Linked DNA regions of Cricetulus griseus. The protein of the gene in region 2 interacts with the protein of the main gene of each other region in a pairwise test. Links are inferred from orthologs where the notes say so. Each region holds a gene or a part of one and is shown on either strand. Other genes may lie near its edges.

Evidence for each region.
Region 1: the proteins of Topbp1 (region 2) and Cip2a interact in a two-hybrid assay, tested with the Homo sapiens proteins (2 studies listed by BioGRID). The link is inferred for Cricetulus griseus from reciprocal best matches to the Homo sapiens genes TOPBP1 and CIP2A.

What each region holds. Positions count from the first base shown.
Region 1 is NC_048597.1:42,070,906-42,076,163, reverse strand, and holds part of Cip2a (protein CIP2A), read left to right. Parts: intron 1-975; coding exon 976-1,123; intron 1,124-2,225; coding exon 2,226-2,338; intron 2,339-4,039; coding exon 4,040-4,134; intron 4,135-4,777; coding exon 4,778-4,874; intron 4,875-5,258.
Region 2 is NC_048597.1:211,546,205-211,551,462, reverse strand, and holds part of Topbp1 (DNA topoisomerase 2-binding protein 1), read right to left. Parts: intron 3,835-5,258; coding exon 3,700-3,834; intron 2,521-3,699; coding exon 2,377-2,520; intron 595-2,376; coding exon 413-594; intron 1-412. UniProt on the Homo sapiens protein: Scaffold protein that acts as a key protein-protein adapter in DNA replication and DNA repair. Composed of multiple BRCT domains, which specifically recognize and bind phosphorylated proteins, bringing proteins together into functional combinations.

The DNA of each region.
Region 1 (5,258 bases), about 170 Mb from region 2:
GAATTTTAGACTAATGATTAGTGACCTTTTAGAATATATATATATATATGTCTAATTCTAAAGTAACAAAATGTTTGACTTTAAATACTAGGGTTATATTGAATCTCCCTCACAAAAACAACTGGAATGAAAAGTAAAAAGTATTAAATCTTTATTGTTTCTGCATAATCTCCTAACTTGTAGGCTCAGCCCGAAAGCAGTCATCCATTGGGCTTCATATTCCATCCTCAGAGTAGTTGGAATGAGTATACTAGGCTTCAGAATAATAAATCTACTTGGTTCTTGTCTTAGGGTTTCTATTTCTGTGAAGAGACATCATGACCATGTCAAGTCTTACAAAGGAAACCATTTAATTAGGATGGCTCAGTCAGAGGTTCAGTCCATTATGGTCATGGTGGGAAGCAAGCCAGCAGAAGGAGCTAAGAATTCTTACAACTTGATTGCAGGCAACAGGAAGTGGTCTGAGATACTGGGCCTGACTTGAGCATATATGAGTCTTCAAAACTTGCCTCCACAATGATCCACTTCCTCCAACAAAGCCGTACCTACTCCAAAAAAGCCACAGCTCCTAATAGTGCCACTCTCTATGAGCTTATGGGGGCCAATTACATTCAAAATACCAAAGTTCTGCTGTATATTTTTAATCTGTGTTCAGTATAGTACAGTACAGTATAGATAATATATAAATGTTAGTTCACTAATATGTGAAAGAAGTAAGAGTATGCTATAGGCTGTGTAATAAGTAAAACTTAGATGATCTGACTGGCTTAGGAAAATGTTTCTGGAGAAAGTTAACTTAAACTGAAATCCAGATGATTCAGCTAGAGAAGGAGAGAGTCTGTATGTGTGCAGAGAAAACAACAGGTGTGAATTTTCTAAATTGGGGAAGTAGCACTTCAGAAAAAAATGGTTTATTTGAAATGGAGACAAAATAGAAATTGCCAGCACTTAACACATTTGCTTCCTATTTTATAGGTTGTTTCTGGACAAAAGCTGACACGACTTTTTACATCACATCAAATATTGCCAAGTGAATGTTTAAGTTGCCTTGTAGAACTTCTAGAAGATCCAAACATAAGTGCTTCACTGATCCTAAGTATTATCAGTTTGCTGTCTCAACTGGGTAATGTGTTCATACTTTCTCTTTTGGAACTTGGAAGACTATGGACTTAATTTTTTTTAAAGATTTTATTTTATGTACATGAGTACTCATCTGCATGTCTACCTGCATGACAAAAGAGGGCATCAGATCCTGATACAGATGGTTGTGGGCAACCATGTGTTTGTTTGCTGGGAATTGAATTCTGGATCTCTGGAATAGCAGCCTGTGCTCTTAACTACTGAGCCATCTCTCCAGCCCTGAACTTAATATTTTTAAAGGACAGATAGAGTTATAGAATTTCTTCAAGAATGATTTGCTTTCAAAAAATGTCTTCATTTAAGAACCTCTTAAGAGTTAGTCTTATGGTTCTCTCAAAAGAGTTCCTGAACATATCCATATATACAGAGTAGAGTAGTCTCTTGCCGTATAGGTGTGTTAAATATCTGATGTCTTGGGAGCTGAATCTAATTCTGATTAAACATAATTTAAATAATTACACATTGACTAGTAGCTGTCATATTAGATAACACAGTTAAGAGTAAAATGACATGAGTTGCTACTCATTATTCCAATCTTTATCATTTCTACCTATAGGGATACAATCTTAGTTAATGGTTTGATATGTGTTTTCTAATTTAAATTATATATTTTTAAAGAAGTTAAAATGATAATCTGACTGTATATTATGTAACCTGGATTGAGATGGAACTCAAAATTTTCTTGCCTCATCCTCCTAAATAAGGATTACAGGGATATACCCCCAACCTCAGCTGTTAGGGGTTTTCTTTTTCTTTGATATTAATTATATGTCAAAGAATTAGTGTACTTTGAAATTGGTGGTCATAAATTTAAAAAAGGAAAACAAAATCTGTCTTGGCCAGCCATGGTGGCTTAATTCTATAATCTCAGCATTTCTAAGGCTGAGACAGGAGAAACTGCTATGAGTCCCAGGCCAGTCTGGGTTACAGAGTGAAATCCTGATTCAAAAACTCAACTCAACAGTTATCTCAGGTTTTATCCTTTTTAAGGACAAGATTATATGACATAAAATTATTTCACTATTATGGAATGATTTCTGCATGTATAAGTGATATATCTTATGCCATTTTATTTTAACTTGTAGCTGTAGATACTGAAACCAGAGACTGTCTTCAGAGTATATACAATCTGAATAGTGTGCTGGCAGGAGTGGTTTGTCGAAGCAGCACTTGCCACAGTGACTCTGTGTTTTTACAGGTATATAGATCATCATAATATATTGCCACCTGTTCTCCTTTCTTTATTCTCAGACAAGACGTAGTAAGATGTAGCAGGCTTTCTTGGACCACCAGCCCCCAAATTGTGACATGGAGACTTATTATTAATTATCAGTGCTCGGCCTTAGCTTTAGGCTTATTTCTAGCTGTTTTTTTTTTTTTTTTTTTCCTTAAATTAACTCATTTCTATTATCTGTGTGTTGCCCTGAGGCTTCTTTACCTCATCCTCCTTTCCTGCTTCCTCCATGTCTGTCTGTCTGGCCCCTAAGCTGGCTACCTGGTAGGCTGCCACCTTGGCTGACTGGCTCCCCTTTCTCTCTGCCCATCAGCTCCACCTACACCTCCTCCACATAGCTGTTGGCCATTCACCTTTTTATTAGACCTATCAGGTTTCTTAGGCAGAAAAAGTAAAGATCAACACATCTTTACATACTTAAACAAATGCAGCATAAACAAAAGCAACACAACTTTACATAGTTAAACAGTTATTCTGAAACACAAATGCAACACATTTTTTACATAATTAAACAAATATTCTATTCCACAATAGTAAGACCTTTTATTTACTGCTAAGTAACAATTTATATGATGGCATGACATCGTCAGGCATAGTTCCTATTAGGAGCTAGTAACACATGCAGACTACATAAGTATTTCTCAAAAAGAGGACAGAGAGGACCAGATCTGTATTATCACTTTAACTTACAACACTGTAACTGAAGAATGCAGATATGTGCTTTTTGAAATGTGAACTATTCATATTAAAATTATAATTTGGGTTGGTATATAGTCTCAGCCTGCTGAAGAAACATCTTACAAAATTTAAAGCTATGGTTTAAATTTGTTTAGCACAATTTGAAAACTCCTGCACCCATCATTTTATTGAATCTAATATGTAATCAGCTGCAAGAAAGAAAAACATGACCAAATAAACTGGCATGCACTTCAGAGATAAAATGTAGAGGGAAGAAAATATCCTCAATTTAATTCAACCCCCACTAAAGTTTAATGTAAGAGAACAAAGCAGATGACTGGGCAGATTTGGTTACTACAGCTGCATCAAGTGTATTTATCTCATAGGTTTGGTGGTTCAAGGACATACTATCTATATGAACTGAGATCTGGCAAAGGATCTTCTGGCTATAATCATGGCAAATAGGAAGGGAGGGACATAATCATATCTTAGGTTCAACAGGAGAGATACTGCAACCAGGCTTGTTCCTTTTGTAACTCCCCTCTCAAGAAGTACCTACAGGATCACATGGGAAATACATCATACCTCCAGTGACCTAAGGACTTCCATTCAGGCCCTAACTTCTGGAGGTTCTGCCACCTCCCATCCACCTCCCTTAGTTTCTCCCATTCCCATCCTGAGAAACTAAGGCTTAAGTCATAGCACCCACCCTGACTGGACACAATTAGGTGCCATTAAAACCATAACAATGACAACCCGTGAGATAAAATATGTAAAAATGGATAAATTAAGACATGACTCCCAAGGTTTTTAGTAGTAGTCATTACTTAGGATATATATTTTAAAATAAACTTAAGAAATGGCATAGCTCTTGCTCTGGTGTTTGGTTCCTGAAATGATGTGTTCAAAATACTTGGCAATAGTCCATTTTTATGAGTAGGCAATATGTTTTCATGTGTATACTCACAATTATTTTCTTATTCTCAGTGCATTCAACTCCTGCAGAGGTTAACATATAATGTCAAATTTTTCCATTCTGGTGCCCATATAGATGACTTAATTACATTCCTAATTGGTCATATGTAAGTATGCAACAAAACAAGTAATTAGACAATTTACTGATTTATTTTTAAACTAAGCTGGTAGATCATTTCTTTTCCGTAATGTTTTCTAGCTTGAAAAACAACGGATTTATTTATTTATTTTTATGTGTATGTGTTGTGCCTGAATACATATTTGTGGTATACCATGTATGTGTAGGTGTCCATGGAGGACAAAAGAGGACTTTAGATTTTCTGGAGCTGTAGTAACGGAGTTATATGCTGTCCAGTATAGGTGCTGAGAACTGAGCCCCAGTCCTCTAAAAAAAGCCAGGAAGTGCCATTAAATCAGAGTCATCTTACCAGCTTTCTAGGTTTTTAAACTAAGATTACTGTCAGTTTCCTCCAGTTGGGTGATTTTAAGGCTGAGTATTATAAAATTTTCATAGTAATATTTAACAAACTGATTTAGAAATAAAAAAAGTGAACATAATAAAATACCATGCTCATTCTAAGACCATTTCTGTATTCTGTGGCACAGTTGAATAGGATAATTTAGTCTCAAGACATAAAAGAAATAGTATTACTCAGAATATGATAGTCTTGTTTTACATGTAAGAAAGTACTTAGGTCTATTAACTACTCTGCGATTAAGTAAACACCATGCTTTCTGTCTTTACAACAGTCAGTCTTCTGAAGATGAGTTAACAATGCCTTGTCTGGGATTATTGGCAAATCTTTGTCGGCACAATCTTTCTGTTCAAACACAAATAAAAACTTTGGTAAGTTGAGGGTTTGAGATATGTCTGTATATGTATATTTTATAGTAAGTTCTATTCCTAAATTCTTCCAAGTTCTTCTCTTTTTCTCTCTTTTTTTTTTTTATCATATCCAGTGCTGAGTAGACCTAGGATCTTGCACATGCCATTTGGGTACCTTTACCAAAAAAAGAAAATTTTCTCCTAGATTCTGTATATGTCAAATAGTCTTTTAATCTCTGCTTATCTGTGTTGTAAACTTTCCCTTTAAAAAGTAGCAATACTTTGGGGAGCCCCTTTTGAGGGCCTTACCCTGCCTGGGGAGTGGAGGGGGGATGGCTAGGGGCAGGTGGGATGTTGTGGGGGAGGGGAGGGAGAGGGAGAAGGGATTGACATGTGAAGCAAGCT
Region 2 (5,258 bases):
CACTGAGTGATCACATCTCAGCTAATGGCTTATATATGTATATTCAATCTTATCTCTACTTCCCTCCACCCCACAGGAGGGAACAGGGATGCCAAAGCAGTTCACTTAGCCTCCTCAACACTGGAGCACAGTATTGCATAGTGCAACACAGTCAAACTGACTTCCTCATTATTTTAGACGCATTTGCTGCAGAAAACAATTTCACTGTCAAAGCATTTGCCCTCTAGCTAGTGCTGAATCTACAGCTTATCTTCCCTGACAGTCGCATCCTATGACAGTAAGCACTTACGGACTCTGCTCTTCTACTGTCACTAGAGAAATGACCAAAGACCCCATTTTTGTCTCTTAGTAATAAACCAAAAGAAAATGCTATCATTTTCTCCAATACACAAAGCATACAAACATGTCTTACTTCTCTTGTGACTTCTCCCAAAGTGTTTTTATCCAAGAAGGAAGCAAAATAGGTTTCTTCAGATTAGCAGCAACTAGATATTTTTTGCTCCCAACTTCCCCTGCAATAAGGTGAGTGACTGATACATTTAGGTCTCTGTATACTCGTCCACCCATCATTTGTACATATTTATGGACTTCTTCCTATGGACCCAAAGAAAATACATTAATGAGAAAGAAAACAATAGTTCTTCTATTTAAAAACATCGCATAATTTTTTAAAATTTGCATATATGAAATGTTTTGCCTGCATATGTATCTATGCACTATGTGCAAGTCTGGTGCCCTTGGAGGTCAGAAGAGGGAATCAGAGGGAACTGAAGTTACAGAGGACCCAGGTCCTCTGGAAGAGCGGCCTCTCCAGCCCCCCATAAGTGTCTTTTACTGTTGCTAGCCTGAATATACAAATGTTTTTACCAGTAAAAAGTTAAATAACTAACCAAATTACTTTTGGAAAGATGTGTAGGCTGGTGATGTAGCTCAGTAATAGAATGCTTGCCTACCATGCACAAGGCTCTGGACTCAATCCACAGCCTTCCCCCCCCAAAAAAAAACCTAAAAGTAACTGTTTTCTTAGCAGTCATATTGATTAACAATACTTCAATCAATCAACATTTATAGCAATGTGGTCTTGTAGATTAATATTGCTAATAACATCATAGCCTTAAGTTTAAGAACACTCAATGACAGTCACCTATAGAAACATTTTCAGAATTATCATCATTAATAAATGACTGTGTTTATTCTTTTAAACTCCATAATTTAAAGCTGGGCAGTGGTGGCCCACACCTTTAATCCCAGCACTCGGGAGGCAGAGGCAGGTTGATCTCTGTGAGTTCGAGGACAGCTTGGTCTACAAAGCTACAGAGAAACCCTGTCTCCAAAAACCAAAACCAAAATCAACCCTCCATAATTTAAAACTATGTTGCTTCTGATTACATTTTTACATGCTATATTCACACTTCTATGCAATATACAAAAATATGCTTTGTACGGCCCCTTTCTCTCAGTTTTCTGAAGTAGGCTGACCTATGTAGCCCAGGTAACTTCAACTTGAAGAAGTCCTCTTGCCTCGGGCTCACAAGTCCTGGGATTAAAGATGTGAGCCACTATGCCTAGCTATCCCTTCTTCTTTTCTTTTTCTTTGTTTTGTTTTTTTGAGACAGGGTTTTACTATATAGCCCTGGCTGACCTGGAACTCACTAAAAGTCAGGATTAAAGGCATGAGCCACTACACCCAATCAGAATCCTTTCTTTGTTTTTGTTTTTCGAGACAGGGTTTCTCTGTGTAGCTTTGGAGCCTATCCTGGCACTCACTCTGTAGACCAGGCTAGCCTCGAACTCACAGAGATCAACCTGCCTCTGCTTCCCAAGTGCTGGGATTAAAGGCGTGTGCCACCAACACCCAGCTTCAGAATCCTTTCTTTAAAGATTTTCTGTGCTAGAAAAACTGCTTCAAAACCAAGTATACCGAATGTAGAACAAACAGTAAATTTTATTTTAAATCAAAACAAAACACTTCACTTAACCAGCTTTTCTATGAAATATATTCCACTTTCCCCAGGGAAGGGCACAGCAACTGGTTTATCTAATACCAAATGGTCAGTTCTAAAAATATGCATGTAAATAACATTTAGGATTACATACATATGCATGTGTACACACACACACACACCAACAATGAAACACAGAGGTCATCAATTTGAAAGAGAGCAAGGAGTGGAATACAGGAGAATTTGGAGGAGAGGAAGTGAGGAAATAATGCAATTATATTATAATCTCAAAAAAAATTTTAAAAAGAAAATACCACTGGGAGCCATGCACTGAAATCTGAAAGTCATAAAAACCATGTATGTGGTCTTTAAGATACATCCCACCGCAGGGAAAATCAGGTGTGGAGCCAGCACTGCTCCTTTCAGTACTTACCCTTTTGTCTTTATCCAGGCTTGTACAAGATATAGTTATATCAGACATAATCATATTGTAAACTGGATACTCAGCTCTTGGGACGCACTGCTGGTGGTGCATACAAAACGTGACTACTTGAGGACCAACAATTCTGCAGCCAAGCTATAAAAAGTTAGGGAAAAGATCACCAGTATCACAAAATTAAATGTGGAACATTTACCAGTTACTCACAGAAACTGAGAGAGACTACTGCTGAAAGCCACCAACTGTTAGAAGAATAAAGACTCACATAATTTCTCTGGCACACTGAGCATTAAAGTAACACATACTCAAAAGCAAAACCACAAGAGCCCTTCATTCATAACTGCTGTCAATTTTTTTGGGGGGGAGGTCTAGACAGGGTTTCTCTATGTAGCCCTGGCTGCCCTAGAACTCGCTCTGTTGACCAGGTTGTTCTCGAGCTCATAGAGATCCAACTGCCTCTGCCTCTGCCTCGAGTGCTGAGATTAAAGGTATGCACCAGTACTGCCTAAAATGTCAGTCTAAAACTTAATCTTTTTTTTTTTTTTTCTTGATTATATTTTAGGGCTGGAGAGATGGTGCAGCAGTTAAAAGCACTGGCTGATTTTCAAGAGGAACTGGGTTTGATTCCCAGCACCCACACTGGCTCATAACCACCTGAAGCTCCAAATTCAGAGGATCCAATGCCCTCTTCTGACTTCCAAGGGTATCAGGAATGCAAGTGGTGCACCAACATGCACGAAGGTAAAAACGCTTAACCATAAAATAATAAATATTTATTTTTTATCTTGAATTATACATAGTGTGTATGTAGGTATATGCACATTTTGTGCCAGTACAATTGGAGGGCAGAGGTAGTGGATTCCCCTGGAGCTGACATTACAAGTAGTTGTGAGCCACCTGACATGGATGCTTAGAATCAAATCTTCAGGTACCTTAAAGAGTAGTCTGTGCTCTTAACCACTAGGCCATCTCTCCAGCCACCCAAAATATGATATGATCTTAATGCATTAATAACCTAATGCTGTAACAACTAAGAAACATTCAAGTTTGCTTTGCATACAAAGCACCAGCCAGTAAAGCAATTTTCTAGAAGTCTAAGAGCCCCAAACCTGAAGAATCCCAATGTACTCATAGTACTCATGATCAGTAGAAAATCCATGAAGCAAGGAGACCAGGTGACTTCCAGCAAGCAAGCAAGTATGCATACACATACAACACACACACACACACACACACACACACACACACACACACAAATAAAAAAGAGAAAGGAAGAAGCAAAACCTCTACCAAATAAGCATCTTAGAGACAGCAGACCTGTTTAAGGTGATCAAAAACAGCACCACTGAATTTGTCACAGATATAAAGTGATTTGTCATTCTCCTTTATCTTCAATGCTTCCTCCTCTGAAATAATCTGAAGATAGTCTTCTGATTGTAATTCTTTTATTGACTGAAAGAGAAAACAAAGAATAATTAGTTCCCTATATTTAAGTCCTACCAACTCTTAAGAACCCATTTCAAATTCAGCCCTTTCCTTATTACAGTATTATTTCTCACCTAAACCACTGCAGATACCTCTGGATTGGTCTCCTCTCTTAAATGTATTCTTCACATAGAAGTTAGTAATGCTTTTTAAGAAACCAACCAAGGGCTGAGAAGATGGCTCAGTGGGTAAAACACTTGCTATGCAAGCACTGGTATCTGAGTTCGGATCTCTAGCACCCATGGAAAAAGCCTGGTATGGAGGAATGTACTTGTAATTCCAACAAGATTCTAGGGGGTCCCTGGCCAGCCAGTCTAGCAAATCAGTCAGCTTAACAACAGTGAGAAGCCCTGTCTCAAAAGACAAGGTGGAATGCAACTAACACACCAGACAGCAACCTCTAATATCCACATGTGCACACATGGGCAGGCACTTAACACATGCACACATATACACAAAAAATTCAGATCATGTTACTGTCTGTTCAAAACTCTCGGACTTTCCACCACACTCAGATTAAATTCTACATGTTTTTTGTACATTAAGCCATGAAGTCACAGGTGTACTGGCTTCTTGGCTTCACCCGTTGGTTCTCACAATGTCTTCTCTGAGTGGAGCAGGCAGGAGATTCAACCCCGGTGCCTTTCTCTTTGGCTTCCTTTTTTTGGCTCACAGATTTCTTTCACTGGTCCCAGGAAGCTGCCCCAGCTCTTAAGAGTGCATAATGTTCCCTCTACGAGCATTAACCCTCTTAGCAAGAATCTTGCCCTTAACTTGCTCATTTTCAAGGCCAACAGCATAATGAGTGATGCTGTAGATTAATTCCTCTAAATTTGCCATAGTAACATTAGTAGGCTACCCACAAAACCCAGATTCAATCCAATCAATGGCAAAGAAACAATTCCATGTTTTCTTTATTTTTATTTAAAAACAAACTCAAGTGTGTATGTCTACTACATGTGTACAGGTGTCCTAAGAGGCTAGACAGGAGCTTCGGATCCCTGGAGCTGTATTTAAAAGTAATTGTGTGCTACTGACATGAGGGCTGGAACCTCAGCCTTATCTCCAATCCCCAACTCCCTGTTTCTGAAAAACCCCGGAGAACATATACCAAGTGCTGATCCTCTCTCCCTGTGTGTTTGTCATGTTGGGAAACTGACTGCTCTAGCCAAAAGAAAGGTCTTGGAATCAGGCCCAAATTTGCATTTACCAGAGTCTTCAAAACCATAAAATGTAACCTCACCTATGTCCCCAGACTCATCTCGTATGTCTACCTCCCTGGTTAATTCCAGTCAGCCCTATACCCTATACCTGGAACAGGCTAATGCGTTCACTTAGAGGTTCTGTCTGGCCCTGCTTCAGGGAATACTCTTCCTTTGGGTTTTCACTTG